2 linked regions of the Coturnix japonica genome follow. The protein of the gene in region 1 interacts with the protein of each later gene in a biochemical or structural test. Links are inferred from orthologs where the notes say so. Each region holds a gene or a part of one and is shown on either strand. Other genes may lie near its edges. The genes, in order: STXBP5 and STX1A.

Region 1 (11,914 bases):
AATGAATATGCTTTAATGCGCATCTGCCTTTGCAGTAGATAGTTAACACTGCTTAGGAAGTAAAAATAAAAAACTGTTAGGAAATCTGTCCAAACCATCTGTCCTGACATTTGCAAGCTTATAGCTCAGGAATATTTGCAAAGAAATGTGATCGAGCAAAGCTGTATTTTCACCTCAAATTGGGCAGCACTCTTGATCTTGTTCAGTTGAAACTGCATCTACAAATAGTAATATGCACAGGTAGCATCAAAGCAGAGCTGGCAGACTAATTCTGTTATATCCACCTTCTATACAACTTGCAGGCCGAAGCAGTGTTGAGAATCTGTTCAAATTGTTAGTATCCTGGCAACTTAATAGCTTCCTTGTATCTTAGTAATCCCAAATTATGTCCGTATACACCTCCAACAAAATTATTTGAACAAGATTTCTATTAACTGTGCATATTAAACAAAGATACATACAGACTAAAAAGGAAACTAAGTAAGACACATTCCAAATACAAGAGGATGGATAACAGTACAATGTAAGAGTGGGGGAAATGATTCACTCTGATTAAGACTTGGCAGTGAGCAAAATCAAACCATAAAAGCTGAAGCACTTAGTTTATGGCAAATATAATAATAAGCACTGTAAACTTAAAACTGAACTACTTGGACAACAGCTACGCTTGAAGACAGCAGATTTGGTTTTATTCATTACCTGAAGATTTTCACATGTTTCTTGACTGTAGGTGAGCCTCTGTATTTCAGTTGGTGAGACAAGATAGAGGGCTTGTCCATTATTGGTGAAGCAGAACGTTCTGGCTATTCGCATATTAGTGAGTGGCAGGTAATACACATCCAACAGTGGCCTTAAGCTTGGCAAACTTAAGAATTAAAAAAAAAAAAAAAGAAATGTAACAGGATGTTGCATTATTTTTCTCTTCATGGTCATACAAGTACTGTATAAAGAGGGCATCATTTAATACAACTAGGAAATCTGCAAACATAAATATGCAGTACTTAAAGGAAGAACCTCAAAAGAGAAACTCAGACATCTGTATCACAAATGCATTTCAAAGCATTATTTAAATGATACTCTGAGTACATAAATCTCAGGCACACTTAAAGCATTATTCAGTAATTACTAATGAAATTCTTTAATAAATATCTACTTTTTTCCCCCTTCATATACAGTTGCCTCTTCTCTCAGGTGACAAGTTTCTTCTTGACTAAAACTGAAACCCAAGAGTTGTCCTCAGGAACCCAGGGAAATATGCAAAGACAGCGCTTCCAAAGGAACAGAAAATTCAGTAAACTCAAACAGCATTCTTGTGAAGTTATGCCTGCCCTTTTTCATCTGACTGTATAAATAGAAAATGTATAAATATACGGTTTCTTTAAATAAAATGAAATCAGCTTAAAGCATTGTTTTGCTTACCTTGTTTGTTCTGTTTTCTGCATACATTACTGAAGTACTTAGTGCATTAAGCTACTGAAGAACAGATGCTACACATTCATTCTGTAATAACGCTCAAGCTGCCAAACATTTCTCTCCCTCAAAGAAATACTAAACGCAACTAAGAAGTGACTGAATGCCTTATGTCTTGATAAACAGAACCTTAAATGAACCCATACCTCAAAAATACTCCCTAGGAAATTTTTGTAAAAATAGAATTTACACACTAGCTGCAAATTTATCATCAATATATTAAGCAGCTTCTGCTGCTAAGATTCTTATTTCAAAAGACTAAAAAAGCAATAAAGGGGAATACTGAAACTGAAACTAATGATACAGAAAAAAATACCATACAAGCTAAACTAAGTTTCTTGTCTTCTGCTCTACTTCATAGTGATATTGAAATTTCTAAATGTTAGGCTGGCATTTTACAGACTGGGTGTTGTCCGATAGCAGGAGATTCACAAAGAAAAGGAAGAAGAATAGATAACATGACTTTAGTGGCAAGCTCTATGGGTAAGAAATAAAAAGCATAAAAAGCAACATTCTTCTGTAAGCACGCTACCAGTGATGACACATTTGCCCAGCATAAATCTAAAATAGGAATATTCCTAGGATTAAACTATGAAGAGTGAACTGCTTTGCCACAGGTCCCTCCCCCCACACCCTCCATCACTACTCAGAATGAAAAGAGCATTTGTAAACCCTTAAGAAGAAGGACAGGTAAAAATTAAATAAATGACACAAGTACCCTCAAAATTACTTCTTCACACATTTATACATTTATGGATTTTTTAATACTAGAATTGCTATAAATTAATCTCACTTTCGAGACATGAGCAAGCTACAGAACAAAACAGAAAGCTCAAGACATGACTGAGAAGCAGACAGGACTGCAGTAGCTGCACAAAAATATGCAGAGCTGTGGTCAGCTAAAGGTCTGATTCAGGACAGGTTTTTCCAACAAGGAGTAAATTCCTTGTTGAGACAATTTTCAACAGTTATATCATGTTTGGAATTATTTGTTGAATTATAGTAATGACTTAAAATGATAAACTTGTTCACGTGCTAAGGGCAAAATTAATAGGAATATGTAATCAAAATATTCAGCTGCAGATGCTAGAAGTTTATCAACACTGAACTGGATGCCCGTTTTATTCGTATTCTTCTGGAAAGAAATTCATCTAGCAGGAGACTCATATCATATATATATTCATATACATTACTATCTATTAGGTCTTACCTAAAAGCCATAATATGTCCATTGGCACAGAAACATGCAAGGCAAATACTGTTACTCAATGATACTATATCTCCACGAAGAACAAAAGAAGTCTCTGTTATGTTATGCTTATAAATACAGTTTTGGGATGGCAGTGAGATAACTTTTGCTTGCTTTTCAGAACATATCACTGCATATTGGTTTTCACTGATTTCCTGAGAGGATGAGGGGGACACTGAGACTGGTCGTCTCTTTTTCGATTTATCTTTTTCATCTTTATCTTCAGGAACATTATGTTCTCTCCAGGGTTCATGAGCAGGTGGGACTAAAGATCCAGTAGTATCCAGAAAAGCCATTCTCAAGATTGCCCCTTTTAGCCTCAGGATGGTTCCTAGGAAATATAAATTGAGAACATTTCTAAAACAGTCCTAAATTGTCATTCAAACTAAAAAAAAATACTCCCTTAACAAGCTAGAAGAATGAAAACTAAACTAGAGCTTAGGGTTATCTCTACCAAAATAGACTTAAAATCTCTGGACTTGAAGCATGTACAAGTGCATGTACATTCAGTAAATTATTAAAACAGTTTTCAAAGTTTAAATACATACATGCATACACTCCATTAACACCAACATAAATGTATACATTTATTAGGAGAACCAAGCCAGAATGCATATTTATATTGAATTCCAGTGTCAAGCACAATTCATTTTATTATCTCGAGGAGCGCACTGTGCACTCAGTATCTACCATAAATGCAATTAACAAGAATTTTTCCTTCAAAATGGGTTCAGAAACTGGCAACTTGTTTTCTTTTTCTTTTTTCCTATAGTTAACATTTGAATCCACTTCTCTCTAGCATAAAGCAAAAATGTTTTCCTTCTCAACTGCTTGTGTTTAATTGTAGGCTGATATATTTCTTTTTTCACTCATTTAGTCACACACAAGTAGTAACAGAAAAATTTATTAAATGCATAATAAATAATACGTATTGCAGCAGATCTGATGATTCAACACACTGTCCAGTCTGTTGCCTTGCCTTCAACATAAAACATTACCAAATCTGAATACTGTTAATGCAAACATGGTCTAGTGACCATATTGTTCACACCGTTTCTTCAAACAGGAGTGCAATTTTTCTGTAAAGCAGACCCATCATGCTCTGTAATGAAACTGTGGTAGTAAGAAAGGCAAAACTATTCCTAACAGTGTATTATTCAGTTTTTATTTTTGTTAAGGTATCACTGAAAAAAAAGAGTAATATATAATTATAACAAAATCAGTTGCTGTGTACCAGCAAAACAAAACAAGGTATTTCAGTAATTCAAAGGAACATTTCATCACTAATATTTGAAGTATTAAAATATATAGCTCTTATTTTTTCCACTATTCACTAAAATCTTATGTTGCAATTAGAAAATACTTAAAATGCACATCTCCATTGATCAATAATAGTCATCGGCTACACAAAAGCTAGAAGGTCTGCTTTTGTCAGCATATATAGTTCTATATTTTTATACTTTATGAGATCATATTATCAACTTGGCAACTTTAAAATTCTGGTTATAAAGCAAGCAACCTAGATTGTTAAACCTATTAGCCAGTACATACTAATTTCCAATTAATCCATAATTGAGAACAAGTTTATTAAAAAAAGCATGAATAACAACAATACTTGGCATTCTTGAGTGCCCATCTGCTTTGTACTCACCACTAGGAGAAACAATTACTGGCTGAAGAAGTCTTTGCTCTCCTCCTGGGGGTAGGTTCAGTACAATGACAAGCACTGTACCCAGGGTGGTACCGACCCACAGGCACGGAGAAGGTGATGTATCAGCTTTTCTTGTGAAAGTCTCACAGAAATGAAGAGCTGAAATTGCCTCACGTGACTCTTTGTCAATGCTAGTTACACTAGAACTCCTGGATCGACTGAAAGAGTTGTCTTTAACATCTGAAAATAAATCAGTATTAATTAGAAGAACTAAATATAGGAATTAAGAAAATTAAGATTTTATTTTGGTTTTGTTGTTTAGCATAGAATACATATATTATGTATCAGTCTATTGATTTTTATAACTATTTTATTTTCCCTTAATGATAGCTCCTTCTAATTCAGTTTCCACTATTTTATCCTGAACAAGGCATCCCAGATTTGCAGAGATAGCAATCAGGTTATTTCATGAATGACTTATCATAGAATGGACTATAGAAGGGACCTTAAAGATCACCTAGTTCCAACCCTCTGATGTAGGCAGGGCTGCCACCAACTAGTTCAGGATGCCCAGGGCCCCATCCAACTTGGCCTTGAATGCCTCCAGGGATGGGGCATCCACATTGTGGGCAATCTGTTCCAGTGCCTCACCACCCTCATGGTGAAGTTTCTAATAGCTAATCTAAATCTACCCTTTATTTATTTATTTATTTAAATATAGTTTAAACTCTCATCCTTTGTCCTGTCACTACATTCCCTAGAAAAGTACATGACATTTCTTATCTCAAGATAGAAGGAGCAGTTATCAATCATTAAGAGTTCTTAGAAAAACTCAAACAAGTGAATTACATACCTGTCTGTAATTTCCTAATTGACCAAGTTAAAAACCACTGGCTTCCACAAAGCATGATTTAATGATTTAATGAAGATATAACTACATTAAGACCTACAAAACATCCAGACAGACTGACAGTCTGTAATGATTCAGTATTGTCCCACTTCAGGAAACTGCCCAGAGGAGGTCTTGGGTTATTAACATACACCTGAATTTTCAATCAGAGAAACACTCAAGGCCACCAAACACAATTGGAACTGTCATGCAAAGCTGAAGATTTCTGTTTTGAATATAGTACAAGGTGGCACCAAAACTTTTCAGGATGTCTTATTCTTTGCTTAGCAAATAAGTTTCTCTTAACAGAGTGAATTCATATACTAACAAAAATCATCGAATTAGAAATCACGCTGCTCTATTATAGACATGTGCTGTGTGCACACGTGGCAATGCTTAATATATCAGCACGTCTGAAGCTATCTGTGCACTCTCCAATTAATGCTTGACTTTCTCAATGCATAATTCCAAAATTTTAGCACAATGCAATCCTTATCAGCACAAGTCTGATGCATATCACATAATGACTTCCTAAAACTAAGTTACTGTTTTGGATCTTTGGTTGGAGAATGGAGGCAAGCGACATTTCATAAGCAGGACTAATAAAGAACAACACTAAACTACATACCTAAAGTATCAAAATAGTAATTTCATTGAATGATTGCAGAAATTTCTACAAGAAATATCTAACTTACATTTGAAAAAGCATAGAACTTGATTTCAACTGACTGAATACAGACATCTAAACAAAAAACAGTGAATATCTCAGGAGAGACCCATCTTACTCCAACAGTGACAGAAAAACTCTTGTCCTGCTTACTTTTACATAGTTCAAATATAAAATACCAAGCATTAAGAAGGTCAACACTCAGATACTGATGCAAAGTTTACATATTTAAAACCAATGTCCAGAAAAAGAAGTCAAATCAAGTTAGAAATGGTGAAAAAGATAATTTGTGTTTTATAATTTTTCTGATGACCACAGCCTCTTAAGATGCTTCTTTAAGGTTTTATTTTTTTTAATTTTTTTTATTTTTAAACTTTAACAGATTAGTCACTCTGAATACACTAAACATCAGAATTTTGCTTACATTAAAATACACATTTTGAAAAGATTAAAAAAGCTTAGGTGGTCTCCAAATTAAGGTAAAAAACAAAAGCTGGAACATATTGATACATTCAGAATCAGAAATGCAACTCAACTGTAAACTTTTTGTGTAAAGAAAAGCTAACCCAAATCCTAGCAGCTTACTAGAACTTCAGGGTACCTGTGGTTTCTCTAATTCTATTCCTTTGACTTAAGATCTGGGAACACACTTTCTGTATGCCTTATTTCAGGTAAGATCCTTCCCCCTTTCCCAAGAAAAATACAATTAATGCAACAGGCATAACTTGCACATTTCTTCAGTTACAGCTGCTTTAACATCTGAAAAGTATGCATACAAATTCCAGGTGTATTGAAAAAAAACAACAACAAAAACGAACTGGCCAGACAATACAGGCATTGTGGAGAGTGAACAACCGATTCACAGAAGATAACGGAGTAAAAGGTTTGACTGCTTTAATGTGTATTTATTTACCCTGAGGTCACGGAAGGATCTATGGTTTGTTAATGGAATATTTTCAAATGAAGAGGAAGGAACAATGGTGCAATGGCTCACTACACACCACTTCATCAGAAGGAAGGAAAGATGAGGATCTTCTGAGCAAATAAACCAAAGGATAGGATTTAGTGGTAATGACAGTAACCAGCTGGGTTACAGCAGTGAAAAGGAGTGGTATAATGCAGACTGGAGTATGATGAAGACAACTTCTATTTTAAAAATTGGAGCATAAATGCAGAAGCACGTTTTGTTTTAGCCACGTAGGGAGGTAAGGAGTAGTTTAAAGATCTAGACAGAAAAGTGATTTCAAAGAAAGCACTCATGAAGGAGTGAAAGTGGTCAAGGTTCAAGAAGTCATGTAAAGAAACGAGAGAAAATGATGAAGATATTAAACTTGGGAGAAAGGCATTTCAGCTGTTTCCTTGAGCCAGTAGATATGGTCACATAATTAACCAAAAAGCAAAAGATATAATCAAGTTGAGAGTTACTGAAGAACACTATTGAAAAGTTATTCCACTAGGAGAAAAAAATACCGAATAAAATCAGACTATCATCATCTCAGGTTGTTATTTACAGACTTAAAGACTAGAAAATAAAACTTTTACAAGAACAAAAAGTGTTACTTAAGTGTATATAGCCACACGTGGGTATAGTCAAGCAAAAACAGTCAAATATCATTACAGTTAGATGTTAAAAGATACTTTATAAATACTCAATAAGTGAGTTGATCAAATAAAGGTTCCATTATATTATTAGAAAAAATCAGCAACAATCACACATAAAACACTGAATTCTATTTCTAGTCACTTACATTTACTGAAGAATTTCAAATAAAAACAAACAAACAAAAAAATAGCATTCAATAACATTTTTGTGCAAACATATCCCAGTTTGCAAAGTCTGACAAAATTAAACTGAAATCATCCCTAACCTGTCAGTGATGGGAGTGAGGAAGAACAGACACTGAAAAGACAAATAGAATTTCTGTGCTCATTGGTGTCAACAAAGCCATGGTTAAATCCTTCTAGATCCAGGCACAAGAGTTTCAGAAAGATGAAAAAAATTATATTGTCCAGAAGAATTATCAGAAGACTAGATTTAGTCAAGGTAAATTGGCAAAGGAGAGGGAGCTTAATTTCATAAAAACAAATAAATAAACAAACAAAAAAAAGCAACAAAACCAAGCACTTCAAACCTAACTGCAAAAATGAAGATTAGTGATATGATAGTAGGTAGCTTTCAGCATCTACAAAGATGTCTACCAAACAAATGGAGTAACAGTTATCTGTGTTCCTCGTGGAAAGGACAAGAAAAAAATCTGAATTAGTATGGGAATAAGGGAGACAGTCTGACTAACAGAAAATTTATTTAACTGGATATAAACCATAAACTTCATCTGGTATTTTTTTAGGAACTTATTTATTGGAGACCCATGAATCAATGAGAGGTTAAACTGTCAGACACTTGGATCTTTGCCACAGCAGTGGATTAAATGATCTCTGAGGGTTCCTTACAGCTTCACATTTCTATGAGTGGAGCAAGCTGTAACGTAAATCATGGTGGTCCAAATCTGAAGTTTCAGGATATTCCAATATCATCAACTGTTCTCTTGCTGATAGTGGTAATTTTCAAATGCATGTTTCTGCACCTACCAGTTTGAACCTGATCTGTATTCTACAGGGGCTGTGGAAAGGATTCTGCTGCAGAAGCAGCAGGAGGGAGATGTGAGAGGCAAAATGAAGCTTTCCTACTCAGGCTGCATCTACTGCTGCGGGTCTACAGCTGTCCCTGATCATCTCCAGAGAAAAAAGCTGAGGAGCTGCATCTGATCTACAAGCTGGCAGTCAACTTTTGATGACAAAGTAATAAAAATGTCTATTTGTTTGTATGTTTTAGTTATGCAATATCACGACCTTTAGCAATACAAGCTTCATAAATGAAATGCTTACTATGTAAAAAGAGTAATTAAAAAAAAAAAAAGAAATTCTCAGACTGGTCATCCATCCAGCAAACAGTTGTACACCATTTTCATTGATAGAAATGATCTTAATGCCATTAACACTTGTAAAAACATGTCCAACCTTTTAATGGACCTCAGTATATCCTCATTCCTAAATACTGTATAGTTTCAATTTGAAAAGTATTGGACGGCTTCAAATTGGCAAGCAATTTTCCTTACAATAAATTACCTGCTTATTCACACTTTTTCTATCACAGCACTACCATAAGAGTGACAGATGCCTAATAAAAAAAATCACCAAAACGCGCTAAGCCACATACAAGATTTGCAGGCTTACCTTACAATGACAGCAATGATGCTTTGTGCCAGGGAACCCCCCAAATGAGTGGAATTAAAATTTAAGTTCTACAGTTCAAATAAAGCAACCCAGTCACGACATTTTACATGCTCAAGGATTCTTACTTAAATGTATTCACATTCTGTAAAACAATTTCAGTAAATATAAAATACAACTCTGTAAACTTACCTAAATCAGGCTTTAACTCAGTTGGCAAACTTAGCTTCCTGGACATCTTTGCTGAAAAGTGAAGTATAGCCTTTTTTTAAAAAGAATAAACACAATTCTGCTGGCCTTCATTTGCCTCTTCCCAATTATTTAATGTATCATTGTTTATAACGTTAACTGCAGTACTTAACCGGATTTCTGCTAAAGCAGAACCTCACTTTCACAAGTGAGGCATGCAAAGTAGAACATGGAAACTACTGTAATCCCCAAATATAGCATTTTATTACTTTTGCCAAACTTCATTTCCCCTTAGGCATCTGAAATAACTTGATATATTGGATAAATTTTGCTTTGGCTCAAACTCAAGATTTATCTCTTCAGGTAAAAGGAGATAATGCAGCTCCTACAAGAATGTGCGCCGAAACTTTCATCAAGTTCACATCCCATCCACACTTCTGCCCTACTTCTTGATCAAACCTGAGATACTTAAAATGGAGAAAATAATACATTTTAATTACTCTAACATGTACACGTGTAAAATAAGCTAGTAATCTGAGATGCAATCTGCAATCTTAGAAGAACGAAGAAGTTATGAAGAATTTTAAAATGAGTGGCATGCAAACTCCTGTCACACTCAAAAAGAGCCACGTTCTGACAATACTGTGTGGAGATAAAGCATGTATCCAACATGCTGCTAAAACAGAGTCACTAGCAATCTTAATGCCATACGCCCCCCTTTCATCTTTACACCAATAACTACTGGAGAATGGAAAAAAATGATGTAGTCCAACAATAGAACTTGAATTTATTTCTTAGCCACATGCCTGAATTTTGATTCATTGTTTAGTTCTTCACTATCTTATAAGGGAAACACTTTTCTACCTAAAACAGATGTTGAGGATAGTCTCAGTTTAAGGAGTACCTTGTAATGTTTATCAGTCATAAGGCAGGATTGAATCTTTTTGCTCCTCTCATTTAAAAGTGGAATTCACTCATTCTATCTACCTGTTTAAACAAAAATAATTGTTTTCCACAAATTCCAAAAAGGAGTGTATGTTTCGAAGTTATTTCCACTCCATCATTAATGAAAGTATTTCACTGTATCATCAACTGTGCTCATCAATACTGCAAAGTCTAGTTAACTGAATAGTTGAACAGTTTTATTCCTGTCATATGTAATAAAAATTTGAGAGTAAGTCTCCAGAAATAACCTTCTCATTTCCTTCATGTGTCACTGTTACAAAGCACATCCTGGTCAAATTAAATTGAACTCAGACCACAGCGCTAGGCACATCAACATATTCTATCTAATGCAGTCAGAAACTGAAAAGAGCACTGCAGCTACATACATACTTCCTACCCTTATCCTTGCATTGGCTGCTGCCCAGCTTAATGATGAGCCCAAAACTTATCTTAATGAAGTTTCTGACAAGGATTGTTCTCAACAAGATTAAGTTCTGCTTCAGATCAGTGCTCAGCTGTGCATACAGAAAACTGTGGTACAATGCAGCAATAACGACAAGGAATCTTTCTTCCTGCTGTCAGCTATAACTTGCATCAGCTTGAAGAAAGATCAAGAAACCTCATCTGGAATCGTGAATTACAAGATGAGTGTTCCTCATCTTATGTCTTGTTTTGGACAAGTAAATTATAAAAGGCTGAGATACATAACAAAAGCTTAAGCACGCACACAAATTGAGCTACTTTTGTGCTCTTTGTTTTTGTTTTTTTTCCCCATGTGTGAATATAAGCAACCATTTAATCAGTTTGAAGACAACAGTGGTTGCTTCTGGCTTCTCAAATTCAATGATTTTAACAACTTGGGGGGGGGGCGTTGGCAAAAAATAAGCTACTTAGGCAAAAGGTAACATGGAATACAGGCTGGTAGCATTGTATTCCAAGACTCAGTCCTCACTTTTAGCATTCTACTCATTAGTGAAAAGCCAGCTACATGAACTAGGTTGAGGAGATAAAATAAATCTGCCCTTCAAATTTTTTTTTAGCAAGCACTAAAAAATGCTTTTTTTGCATTTTTTATATTTATGCTAATAGAACAAGAAAATAAATGAGTTTTTAAAAGATCATCACGGCTAGAAATTGTGAATATGTTATGCAGAGAAGTTACATTTAAAAACTCGTTAAAAACCTCAATTATTCAAACGTAAATATTACTACTTAAACCAGACCCTATTTAAATAGCAGTACTGCCATCTTGTGTTTAGACAGAAAAGTGCCTCAAAAAGCAATAAGAAAATACAAGTATTTCACCAGCTAAATCATTTTTTAACTAGCATTACTTGGTGTAACAAGTACCTTGAATGCATATATGTCTTACAGTTCACAAGTTTCAGAAAATTCAGTTTTTCCATGCCACAGATGGAAAAACAATATTGCCAGACATCACAGACATCATCTACATGAATGATACTTTTCAGGTGATGGAAAAAAAAACCAAAAACAACAGGATTGAGATCTACAGAGAACATTCTTAACATTGGTTGTTTCATTCCAGTTGTACAACAGGGCAGTGGTGATGGTGGCTGCTCCTGCTGGGTGCAACTGACTTCAAGCAGTAGATGTAACGCC
Region 2 (12,014 bases), on another chromosome or scaffold:
CGAGGCTCAGGAGGGCTCTGCAAGGACAGAGCTGTCCCCAGGTGAGCAGAGCACTCCTCAGCTCCCAGCGATCTGCAGCAGCACAGCTTGGAGCACAGGTCACACCTCGCCCTGTCTCACTCCCGCAGCACCGCACTGCAGGCACTGTCACCCCAGGGCTGAAGCAGCTTCCCTTACACTGCTGCCAAAACAGACACAAATCTGAGCAAACTGCCCCACGGAAACCTAAGCATCGTCCCGAGGGGCAGCATGTGGATTCCTCACCAAGAGCTGCGGCAAAAGATTTCCCAGTGTGGCCACCCCATGTTCCCAAAGCGGTTGTCAGACACGTGCAAAGCTCTGGTCTAGGTCCAAGCGGGGTCAGCTCGTCAACACAATAGCCCCAGTGACATGCAGGGAGCAGCTGGCGCAGGAGGCAGAGCTGCACCACAAGGCTCAGCAGGGCTGGGGAGGGCGCCCAGCACCCCACGCTTCCCAGCGTTTGGTAATGGGGACGCTGCTAATACATTCATAGTGAGCAGGTTACATCCCTCTGCTTCCAACAAGCTTCATTTCTGAAAGATGGCTGAGAAGGACAAACCCACTGAACAAGCTGGAAGCCTGCTGCTCCACACGGAAAACCAAGAGGCAGCAGGCAGGGAGAGCTGTGACATGACGGTAACAAGGTCTCTATTATCTCTGCAGCAGTCACACGCAAACTCATCCCCTGCTCTGTGCCGTGAGCGCTGCAGATCGATTTCACCGCATCCGGATGCATTTGAGGAGCCAGCAGCAGAACCTCACAAGGCCATGGTGGGCTCAGTGGCCCAGGGGGTGGCACAAACCCACCGGCTGCCCCAGCCATGGAAGACAACCTCCTCCTAGGCAAGGCCACAGTGAGCAACACGCAGCCGGAGTCGACAGCCACCCTGTGCCAGCACAGCTGCAGGGCCAGCACCACGTGCCACCCCGTGTCACCGCAGGAGGTAATGCAAGCTTTATGGAAGCACAGAAGGTCAGAAAACGGCCACAGCAGCACCTACCCCCTTAAGAAGGCCATTACACTGGCTTTTCCCTTGGAAATGCAGGCTGCTGCTCTCCCGTTCTCACTGAACGGACACCTCTGCAGCACAGTCTGCTGAGCTGCACACACATGTCCAAAAACCATTTGGCTCTTCCTGCCTCTGAGCCCAGGAGCCCCCAGAATCCCCTTCAGCTGCCAGAGAGCTCCTGCCACCCTCCGCTGGCTATGCAGCTCCAGCTCCTGGCCATGCACGTCGCTGTGAAGATGGATGAGGTCAGAATAATTCAGTGATGAGCCGCAAGAAAAATCTACTCTCAGCCATCTTAAAAGCCTACCAGCACCACCGCACACAAACAGCAGGCTGCATCCCAGCCCGGCTGCACACACAGCTCTGCCGTGCTCAGGAGCACATGGGCAGGTCACTGAAGCTCTGCTCCATACAAACATGGTTCCAAGAAGCGCTGTATATATATATATATATATATATATATATATATATATACAGTACAGCTAGAGAGCATAATAAATGGAGTATTTCACAGCCCTGGATATCTTATAGCATGTAGGCCATTATTTAGTTATCACAGAAAGGCCCAGGTTGGAGTGAACTGTAAAGACCATCCAGCACCATCCCTGCATGGGCTGAGTGTCCCCCAGCTGAGGCTGCCCACAGCCCTTCTGTGGCCTGGGGCACCTCCAGGGATGGGACACCCACAGCTCTGGGCAGTGTCCACCAACGCCATCACTCCATCACTGAAGGCCGCCAGGTGGGTCAGCCATGCTCTGCCCCTGCTGCAGCTGTGCCAGCTGCCCGACGTCACCTCCTCATCTCCCCTGTGCCCCACGTCTCCTCCGTGGTGCTCCCAGGCACAGAGCTGGGGCTCACGAGGTCGCAGTTCCCCAGACATCCCTTTCCGGAATACGGCAACAATGTTTCCCTTCTTCCAGTCCCCGGAGCCTTCAGCTGACAGCCACAACATTTCAGATGTGATGGAGAGCAGCTCAGCACCCACACCAGGCAGCTCCCAAAGGACCCTTCTGTTACATCCAATTCCAGCATTACTGAAACCAGCCCGTATTTTGGACCAGCAACTTTTGATGAATAAATGTTGAAGGCAAAACTGACTACTGCTCACCAGCATCCGCGTGAGTCATCACGTGTTTCCAGTTTCCAACACCAGCAGCACAGCAGAGCACAAGATTTCCAGGAGTTTTGTCCTTTAGGTGTTCATTTTCATCATTGCAGAATTACATTACCAACCTTTGGCTGGAAGCCCGACGGCTCTGTCGGAGCTCTGGCCAACTCCTCCGGAGTCTTTCTGGAAGGAGCAATGCTCCATCCCACCCAGCAGCTAAAGGCAGCCAGGTGCATTCATGATGCCACAAAGCCTTCCAGGATACCCCAGTGCTATGATGAGTACCAACAGCTCAGAGCACGGGCTCAGCGTGGCAAGAAGGTGCTCTCCATCCCCCAGCACAGATAAGGCTGAGGTAGGGCTGCAGCTCAGAGCAGCTCTGCCCCACAGACCTCCACCAAGGGACTGTCCCTGCTCATCCTCCCTCAAACACATCCCTGGAAGCATTCAAGGCCAGGCTGGTCTGGTGGTTGGTGACCCTGCACATAGCAAGGAGGTTGAAACTCCTTGACCGTGATCGTTGTGGTCATTTTCAACCCAGGCCATTCCATGACTCTATGAACACAGATTTACTCTGAAACACTGGAGAAATGGAAATGTTCCCCTTCTGCTTTCTCCCACTGCTCACTTCTCTGGGAAAGACATGAAAGCCAGCGCAGCCTACAACACCCACATCCCTCCCATCAGACATTGCCGCCTATAAACACAGTGATGAAATTTCTTGGGTGCTCTCATCTAGATTGTAAAGGAAACAGCACCATCCATGAAAGACATCAGCCCTCCCAGAAGGCAGAGCTGAAATGTCTCCTGGCAAAATGAACATTTGTTTTGTGCATTGCATGCTGCACGTCTGACAGGTCCCACTGGAAGATCTGAAAGCAACAGAAGACAAAAGGAAGGCTTAATGCTAAAGAATTTGTAACAGACATCGCAGCAGAAGCACTGTAGGAAGGGAAACTGCCAGTGCCAGGATGGGAGCAAATTGCAGCACAGGAGGTTCCCCACACCGTCAGGGAGCATTGCTGTGCAGACAGAGGGACCTGAGAGCTTTGGACTTTCCTCTGTTGAGATGGTAAGAAGCTGCCTGGACATGTACATGGGCACCCAATGTGGGTGCCCCTGCATGGACCACATGGATCCAATATTGAGAAGTGGGACCACATGAACCATCTGAGGTTTAACAAGGCCAAGTGCTTGGTGCTGCTCCTGGGTAGGGGCAATGCCAGGTATGTGTTCAGAATGGGGGAAGAACTCCTTGAGAGCAGCCCTGCAGAGAAGGAATTGGGGTTCTGGGAAGGGAGAGCTGACCAGAGCCAGCAGCGTGCAGCCCAGAGAGCTGCCAGCAGCCCGGGCTGCATCAGCAGAGGGGTGGCAGCAGGCAGGGAGGGGACTGTCCCCCTCTGCTCTGCCCTTGTGAGGCTCCATCTGGAGTATTGTGTCCAAGCCTGGGGCTCCCAGCACAAGAAAGACGTGGGGCTGATGGAGCAGGTTCAGAGAAGGGCAAGAGGGTGCTGAGAGGGCTGGAGCACCTCTGCTGTGCTGACAGGATGAGGGAGCTGGGGATGTTCTGCCTGGAGAAGAGAGGAGACCTTGTGCAGCCTCCCAGCCCCTAACAGGGTCTACAGAAATGCTGTGTAAGGACTCTTTATCAAGGAACACAGTTAGATGACAAGAAGTTCTATACTAAAAGAGAGGAGATTTAGGTTAGATGTGAGGAAGAAATTCTTCACCTAGAGAGGTGCTGCGCCGCTACCCTGAGCTGTGGGTGCCCCATCCCTGGAGGTGCCCCAGGCCACGATGGACCCTGGGCAGCCGCAGCTGGGGGGCACCCAGCCCATGGCAGAAGGGGGCGGGGGGAGCGTTGAGGGGTTGTGAGGTCCCTTCCGACCCAACCACGCTGTAACTCCATGACGCAGAGATCCTCGCCTGCCTCAGCCGCTCTGCCCCACCTCGAGCAGCTGCTGAAGACAGCAGTCCTGCCTGCAGCGGCTCTGCAGCCCTTCCATCCCTCCTGCTTCAGAAACGGCTCTCGCCATGTTTCTGTACCAATGCTCTCCTTCCTGGCCCAATGCCTGGGCTGGTATTTACAGCACACGCTTGTTTCTGTTTCCTGCGCCGCACCGCTCCATTTGCTGTCCGCTCTCCATGGCTTTGCTCTGAGGGTGACCCCACGGCCGCTGCTCAGAGGACGCTGCCTGCACCCACTGCAGCTGCTGGGGCTGGCGCTGGGGCTTCCCTCCTCCTTTTTGTTAGCACACATAATTTTCTGGAAGTAGCAATTTATCACAGTACTTAGCTTAATGAGCCTTACTGTACGTATTCTGCCCGTAGTGATCATTTTGCATATTTCCTGAGCAATCTTGTTAGCAGGGAGATACATGGCAAAACAAACATTTGTACAGCTTCCGAGCAGCTCGCACAAAGGCAAAGACACTCACAGTTAAAGCAAGGGCTGGGCTGAGCCTCCATGGCACACGGTGTGTCGCAGCCCTCCAGCACAGCAGCTCAGAGGGGACGTGGTGGGGCGAAGCAGTGACACCCTGCGCAGTGTGCTGCCTGGTGCTGCCTGCAGAGCACAGCTGCTCCCCCAGTGCTCCCCCATCATCTTGCTCCCATACAACACTCCCAGTGCCCAGGCAGGCAGTAGAAGGAGCAGGGCTGAACAACTAACACCACCCTTCAGGTTGGAGAGCGTGAAAGAACTGCACACCACCAAGAGGGTTAAAAAACAAAAGGAATACAGCACTGATATAAGTACATAGATCCATTCCCGGGGTTAACGGCGCCTTCTGCGTACCAAGAGCCGGCACTGTGGGCCACAAGGATGCTCACATGGAGAACAGGGGCACAGGGCTCTGCTACAAAAAGCAACTTTGGTCAACTCTGCTGTAAGCGCGGACCTGAGAGGCATCTCTGCAGCGTTCCCCGCAGCACAGCCCAGCACAGCAGGGACAGACACTGAGCCCACCCAGCACTGCCTGCCCCGAGCACCGCACCACGCAGCTCCTCGTGGGGGGCACAGTTATGGCCCGTCGGGGTGGGCTTTATCCAGCCCCATTGGAAGCCAACAACCAGCAGTCACCGAGGAGCTACAGACACGAACCGCGTTTCCGACTGCACGCAGCCCAGTCAAAGGGGCTCCTCCAGCACTCCCCACCTCACCTCATTCAGGCTCCCCCATCTGACCCCATTCCCTCTCTGTGACCAGCGCTACGCAGGGACAGTTGAGGCGCTGCCCCCAAACGGCGCCGTGGGGCGCTCAGCAGCGGCCCCGCACCACCCGCCGTACCCCGCCCCGCACCGCCCCTGCGGGCACGCGGTGCTGCCACGGAGCGGGGATCTCCCGCAGGAGAGAGGCGAAATCGCGCCCTGATGAAGCTCTTATTTATTTATTTATTTTGTTGGTTTTTTTTCGTCTTCCTCCATCTCACGTCCAACACGCAGCGGAACACGGAGATGCTCCGGCGCTCCACGCACCGTCAGCGCCGCTCCGGGCGGACATGGGCGCGGGCCCCGCAGGGAGGACAGAGGCACGAGTCGGTCCGCTGTCACCGAACAGACATTTCCCAGCACGGACCAGAGCCGCGAAGGGACAGAGACAGAGACAGAGACAGAGACAGGGACAGAGACAGAGACAGAGACAGAGACAGAGACAGGGACAGAGACAGAGACAGGCGCAGGGACAGCTCCGCGCTGCGGGGCCGCAGCGTGACATCAGCGGAGCGATGAGAACCGAAGCGCAAAATGGGCGCAGGGGCCGCGGAGAGACACGACCCGACCCGGCCCCGCAACGCCCCGCACCGCAACGCCGCTGTGACCGCGAGGAGCGGCGCCGACCGCGGGGGGAGCGCGACGCAGAGCAGCCCCCATCCCATCCATCCATCCCATCCCATCCCATCCCATCCCATCCCATCCCATCCCATCCCATCCCATCCCCTTCCCATCCCATCCCCTTCCCTCCCTGTCTGGGAGCGCCCCGCATCCCGCACTCACGGCGCGCAGTTCCCCGGTGCGGTCCTTCATCGTTCCCCGCTCCGAACGGCCACGCGGGGGGGCGGGCGGGCGCGGCACATGCGCGCAGAGCGGCGGAGCGGCGCGGAACGGCCCCGCGGCCGGCTGGGAGCGGCGGGGGAGTCACGTGGTGGGGGCGGCACCGGGGGAGGGGGCGGCACGCGGGGGGTGCGGGGCGGTGCGGGGGGAGAAGCCGCCCCCGGTGCCGCCGCCCCCGCGGCGCTGCCGGTTACGTGACGTGGCTGCGGAGTCGCCGCCGTCCCGCCCCCCCCCTCCCCCGCGATGGGCTTTTGTCCTCCGCCGGACGCGGCCCCGCTCGGGGCGTCCCGGCCCCGGGGGCGTTTCTGAGCGCCCCGATTTACGCCGCGTCTGTCTGCGCTGAGCGCAACCCGGGCGCGGCGCTGCGGACGAGGGGCGCATCCCTGCCCGCACTGCTGGGCTGTGTGCGGGGCTGTGTGTGTGCGGGGCTGTGTGTGTGCAGGGCTGTGTGTGTGCACGGCTGTGTGTGTGCGGGGCTGTGTGTGTGCGGGGCTGTGTGTGTGCGGGGCTGTGTGCGGGGCTGTGTGCAGGGCTGTCTGTCTACAGAGCTACCAGGACGTGCTGCCGGCTCGTGCCGCTCCATCCTTCCAGCCCCCATGTCCCCACGTCAGCACCTCCCCCATCTCGGCTCCGCGGCCTCAGCCCCCCCCATGGTCGCGCAGCGCTGTCCCCCCACCCTCCCCAGACCGGTACTGCCGCCCCCCGAGGCGCAGCGGCGGATCCCGCAGCCGGGCGCAGCCGCACGTCGAATAACGGAGCGCCCGGGGAGGGCCGCGCCCGGCACCCGCTGTGCCGAGGGACGCGCGGTGCGATGCCGTCCTCTGCCCGGGGCACCGCGGGGCGGCCGGGCGCCGTGAGCGACGTGCGGGACAGTGTGCGGGGGGAAAACGCGACGCCGAGAGCTGCGGGCGGTGAGGGAAGGATCCCGTGAGTCCAGAAGGGCGTCCGTGCGGTGCGAGCAAAAGGGAAGAGCTGCGCCCCGTGCCTACAAAACATCTGGGAGGGACGATCTGTGGTCTCCATCTGTCTCCATCTTCGTTTCAAGATCAGTTGAACAAACATCTCTCGGGGCGATTTGGGGTGATCTGAACTGAGCCGACACACGGATCCATCTGGATCCCCCCAGGGGTGAGGACACACCGCGGGAAACGCACCTTCCCACTGTCCTCATTCCCACAGCTCTGCGAAGCACAAACCCACCCGGACACCCGAGCAGGAATCCCTCCCACTGCAGAAATCCTCACAACCATTTGGAGAGTCAGATTTTATTTTTTTCCGGCATTTAAGACGCTGTGAATTAATCACAGTCCGTCACCGCGTCAGCCCCATCTGATTTCCTGCGCTGCCCGAGCACGAGGCCGCGCCAGGTGGGAGGATTCAAAGACCTGCGTAAGGAGCCTCGCCCGAACCAAAGCGGTTCCGAGGCCGAAGGAGCCGTTTCTCTTCTGACCGGTCCGACGCACTGTGCCACCTCTCCGCGCAGCTCCGCTCTGACGCACGCTGAAATGTCGGGTTTGGCTTCAGAGAACGCAGGCGGCGTCTCGAAGAGACAACGAGCATCACGGGCGGCGGGCAGAGCCGGCGCTGCTCACTCACCTCGGCGCCACGAGCGGCCACGAGCGGCCACGAGCGGCCTCTCCCTCCCCACGCACCGCAGTGACCCATCTCGGCCCGCCCCATCCCGCCCGGAGCCGCAGCACCGCCGAGCCCGCAGAGCCGGCCCGCAATGCCGCCCTCAATGCCTCCCGCAGGACCTCCCGCAATGCCGCCCTCAGTGCCGCCCGCAGCACACTCGCGGGGCCGGGATGGGCCGGAGGGACGCGGCAGCCCCGCTGGCACATCGCGCTTTGAGGTTCTCGCACCCCTCGTCTTCCTCCGTTGAGTAAAATCTATTGCCGGGATCTGGCGGCGCTGCAAAGCCGCCCCCCCCCGCCGCGCAAATGACTCATTTCCAGTTTGTTCCGTTCTGTTCACGCCGGGATCTCCGAGGGCTCCGCTCTTCATCCTACGAGCCCAGCCAACTGCCCGCAGCCTTTTCGTCCACCCCGCCAACCTCTCCGCCCTCGCCCTTTGTGCGTGACGTCTATTTAAGGAGCAGCCCGCGGGGCCCCGGGCGCCTTCAGCCCCGCACAGACCGCAGCCATCAGCGGGAGCGCGGCTGAACGCAGCCTCCGGCAGCGCCCCGCGGGGCAGCGCCGCAGCAGCTCCGCCAACGCCGCGGTCCCGGCGGCAGCAGCCGGTGATGCTCGGGAAGCAGCTCCGTGCTGCAGCCGTGGCACTACCGGGGGCTGCTCCCCTGCCCCGCCGCCGCCCCCCCAGCCGCTCCCAGGGCGCCCCCAATAACGGCTGCCGTCCCTCCCCCCCGACCCCCAAAGCTCCCGGCCCCTCCTGTTGACTTTCAAATCCACCGAGGCGCCGTTTTGAGTTTTGCTCTCACGTTTCTGTGAAATTGAGGCCTTAACTTCTAAACTTGTATTATTGTGTACACTTCACTGCAGCTGCACAGCCTCACTGCTCAGCCCACCAGCAACACGCACAGGCTGAGGGGGCCCATCACAGGGGTCTGTCCTGTGCCACCCCAACAAAATGGACATTCTCAGACCTGCGAACTCAGACCAAATTTGGTGCCTCAGTCTTATCTGCCACATCACATCAACCAGCATGACTGGAGAGCTGACTCATCCACCCAGTGCTTGGCCAAGGACACTGCTGCACTAACAGGCCATGCTACCTCATCTCGGCTGGCGGCTCTTCTGCCAAAAAGGAGGGGTAGCAGGTGAGGTTGGCAAGCAAAAGTCCTCTTTGTAAGAGCGACAGCAGCCACAGTAAAGTTCACCCCTCGATCCCGAGCCCATCTATGTACTGCATCTCCTCAACAGCCACCCCCTGCTAGGGGCAAACATGGGGAGCAAGAGGAGGAAACCAGTTCCTATTGTGTCCTGCCTGCGAATTCTGGCTTTTCAGATGCACTCAGCCCTGTGTGATATTTTTCTTCCTATCACTGTGGGTCTGCAGGTAGCCCCAGTCCTGTGAACGTGAGACAGGAACAAAAATAGGGGAATAAAAAAGGCTGAGAAAAGAAGAAGAAAGTGAGTAAAAACTGTGTAAACATATGCTTCCCCAGGAAGCAATGCAGTGTATTGCTGAGCTCAAGCAATGAGTTGCAGCTCAGATGAAGAGCTTAACAGTTCAAAGTTCAGCTGCTGTGCAAATGTCACAATCTGTTCTCATCTGCAACATCCAGCCCAGCTCTTCTATGAACTAAAGAGAAGATGTATTTTCAGTTGTATTCCCAAAGTCCTTCTGCTCATCCTTGCAGTCAGAAGAGCCAGAAATTCCACAGATAAAAAGAAATACAGAACAGAACCCTCTTCTCCAGTCTGGCCTCTGTCACACATAATTTCCTTGCTTTGGTTTCCATGCGATGAAGACCCCTCCCTTTCTCTAGGAATGAATCAGTTTTAAATCTCAGGTGGTCAGATTCATTTTACTGAAAACTGACCTAAAGCTTCAAATGCTGATGGTAACTATCAGTAAGTTCACTACTCAGTTAATTAAATCTCAAACAACATTCATGCCCTGACCTTCAACATAACCCTCTTCTTTAAGAAGAAAAGTAAATCTATCAAGTCAAGTAGACTTGAAAATTTTCTCATTGCCTACAATTCAATATTCAAAAAGCTCACGTGTCTCATGTCAGTATTTTAGTCAGCTCAGCAGAAACATGAACAACTGGCTCTAACATCAAGGCCTGGTAACAAAATGCCTTCAAACAGCGCACCTGTGGAAACGATTCTCAGTATGGATGTGCTATAGAGAGACATAGGGCAGCATCTCTGCCCCTGTCTGCAAAGGAAGGGCCTCAAAGAGCTTCAGGGCACTGGGAGCTTCTGTCAGAGAGATGTGGGCTGCCCCCAGGCCAGAGGCAGTGAGGCTGTCGGTCTGTCAGTCTGTCAGTCAGGGTTCTTCCACACACTGGAGGCAGAAGTGCTGATGAGGTCCTGGGGAAGGCTCTCACGGGCCTCCTGCATCCGCCGCCGAGCCCGATGGAAAGCCTCTGCAACACAGCAGGTGACAGCAAGTCAGAACACATCAGACAGCCGCAGGGAACGGGAAGGACAAGTCTGTCCAGTGCACATCACCTCTCAGAACAGGGGTCTCACTAAGTACCACCTGACTGCTGCTGCTCTTTGCTCTGCGCATAATGGATCAGAGACTGACTCTGCACACCGCAGCCACAAGTTATGTTCAGTGCAAGACTGGGCAGCCCAGCCCAGGCTTTGCCCTCATGGACCGAGTATCCCTTCTGACTGCTCAGGGCTGATGCCTCCTCAAATTTCCAGCAATGTCAGGTCAGAACATTTAACTTCTGTTTTAACTCAGAGAGAGCTCACAGTGGGGGATAATTCCACTTCAAGCAATGGATTCTCCTGAAATACCCTGACCAACCTGTAAACAGGAGGTAAAAGTGAGACAAAGGTCCTCCTCGAAGAAGGAGACTGAAGGTCCTACCCAGAACATTGTAGACAGAGCTCTGCTGGCTGAGGCCTCCAAGCCGGTCCAGAACGCTCTGCATGCGATGCCTCAGGGCATTAGTTTCCAGAAAGGCTCTGCACAGAAGTACAGCTCGAGGTCAGGGCTGGAAGAACACAGCACACAACACAGAGCTTGTGCTCACTTTGCTGCACTCACTTGGATTGCTGCAGGCAGTAAAGCCGGAACGTGACATTCCCTGTTGTCTTTGTGCGAAAACCAAAGCGGCTCAGATGCTTTCCCTGCAAAAACAGCACAAGTTAGAGTACCTACAGCCTCTAACCTATTACAGCAGGCTGACCCCAACGAGTGTGCCCCACCAGGACAAGCACTCCCGCAGGCACAGAATCACTCCTTGCACTGCTTCAAACAGAAACTGACGTCAGAGAGACAAGCAGACAGTTCCAGGCTGTGCTGAGGGCAGGACCTGACCACTGGGAAGATACAGTGCTGGGGGAAGGGTTCCATCTTGAGCCCTTTGTTCAGTCTGGGTGCCACAATAGGAGAAAAACATCAGCTTATTAAACAGATTCCAAAGGACAGCAACAAAGATGGTGAGAGGTCTTCTCTAAGAGGCTTGTTGGGCCTCCCAGGGGAGCCACTGGAACATCAAAGCAGCTGAAGTTAGAGAAGTGTTTGGACACAGAACATGCACTTTAGCTGTGGGTAGTCCTGTGTAGAGCAGGGAGCTGGAACTGATAATCCTTTGGGCTCCTTCAAACTTGGGATAATTTATGATTCTTTGATTCTAAGAGCATAATCCACCATTTCCCAGCAAGAGCAACATCCCACAGCTAAGCCTACCTTGAAGGTTGTTGGTATCCTGGCATAGGTCACGTCCTCCAGCTCAGGAGACCCACCGATGAAAAATCTCCTCATCTCAGCAACTGTACCCAGCTCTACAGGGCGCCAGGTCGGGATGGTGAGCACGTGGAGACCTGAGCCAAGACAACAGAACAGTTCAGCAGTACTGTCCGACAGTCATAGAGGACATCATGGTGGACGGATACCTACTGATGAATACCCACTGATTCCCAGGTTTTTCCAATGAGCCCCAGCCACACAGCCAGCACTGACACCATCCCCTTTACTATGTGATGATGTTAGACTAGTTGTGAGCCTGGGATTACATACACAACAGAAAGGGCCTACTGCTATTGTAAAGATGGACATGCAGAGCTTTATCACATACAGTTCTCCAGCAGAACCACTGGAAGAACAAGTACAGCAAAACACAATGCTTCTCATCATGGCAGAAGGTGCAGACACATCACATCACTCTGCTGCTTCAC

Evidence for each region.
Region 2: the proteins of STXBP5 (region 1) and STX1A form a complex in vitro, tested with the Homo sapiens proteins (2 studies listed by BioGRID). The link is inferred for Coturnix japonica from reciprocal best matches to the Homo sapiens genes STXBP5 and STX1A.

What each region holds. Positions count from the first base shown.
Region 1 is NC_029518.1:42,453,836-42,465,749, reverse strand, and holds part of STXBP5 (syntaxin-binding protein 5), read right to left. Parts: intron 9,401-11,914; coding exon 9,350-9,400; intron 4,611-9,349; coding exon 4,371-4,610; intron 3,051-4,370; coding exon 2,681-3,050; intron 866-2,680; coding exon 700-865; intron 1-699. UniProt on the Homo sapiens protein: Plays a regulatory role in calcium-dependent exocytosis and neurotransmitter release. Inhibits membrane fusion between transport vesicles and the plasma membrane.
Region 2 is NC_029534.1:103,141-115,154, forward strand, and holds the start of STX1A (syntaxin-1A), read right to left. Parts: upstream 6,261-12,014; 5' UTR 6,163-6,260; coding exon 6,133-6,162; intron 1-6,132. Other genes in the region: MKS1 (Meckel syndrome type 1 protein), read right to left, coding at 10,143-10,246, 10,702-10,799, 10,882-10,964, 11,527-11,660. UniProt on the Homo sapiens protein: Plays an essential role in hormone and neurotransmitter calcium-dependent exocytosis and endocytosis.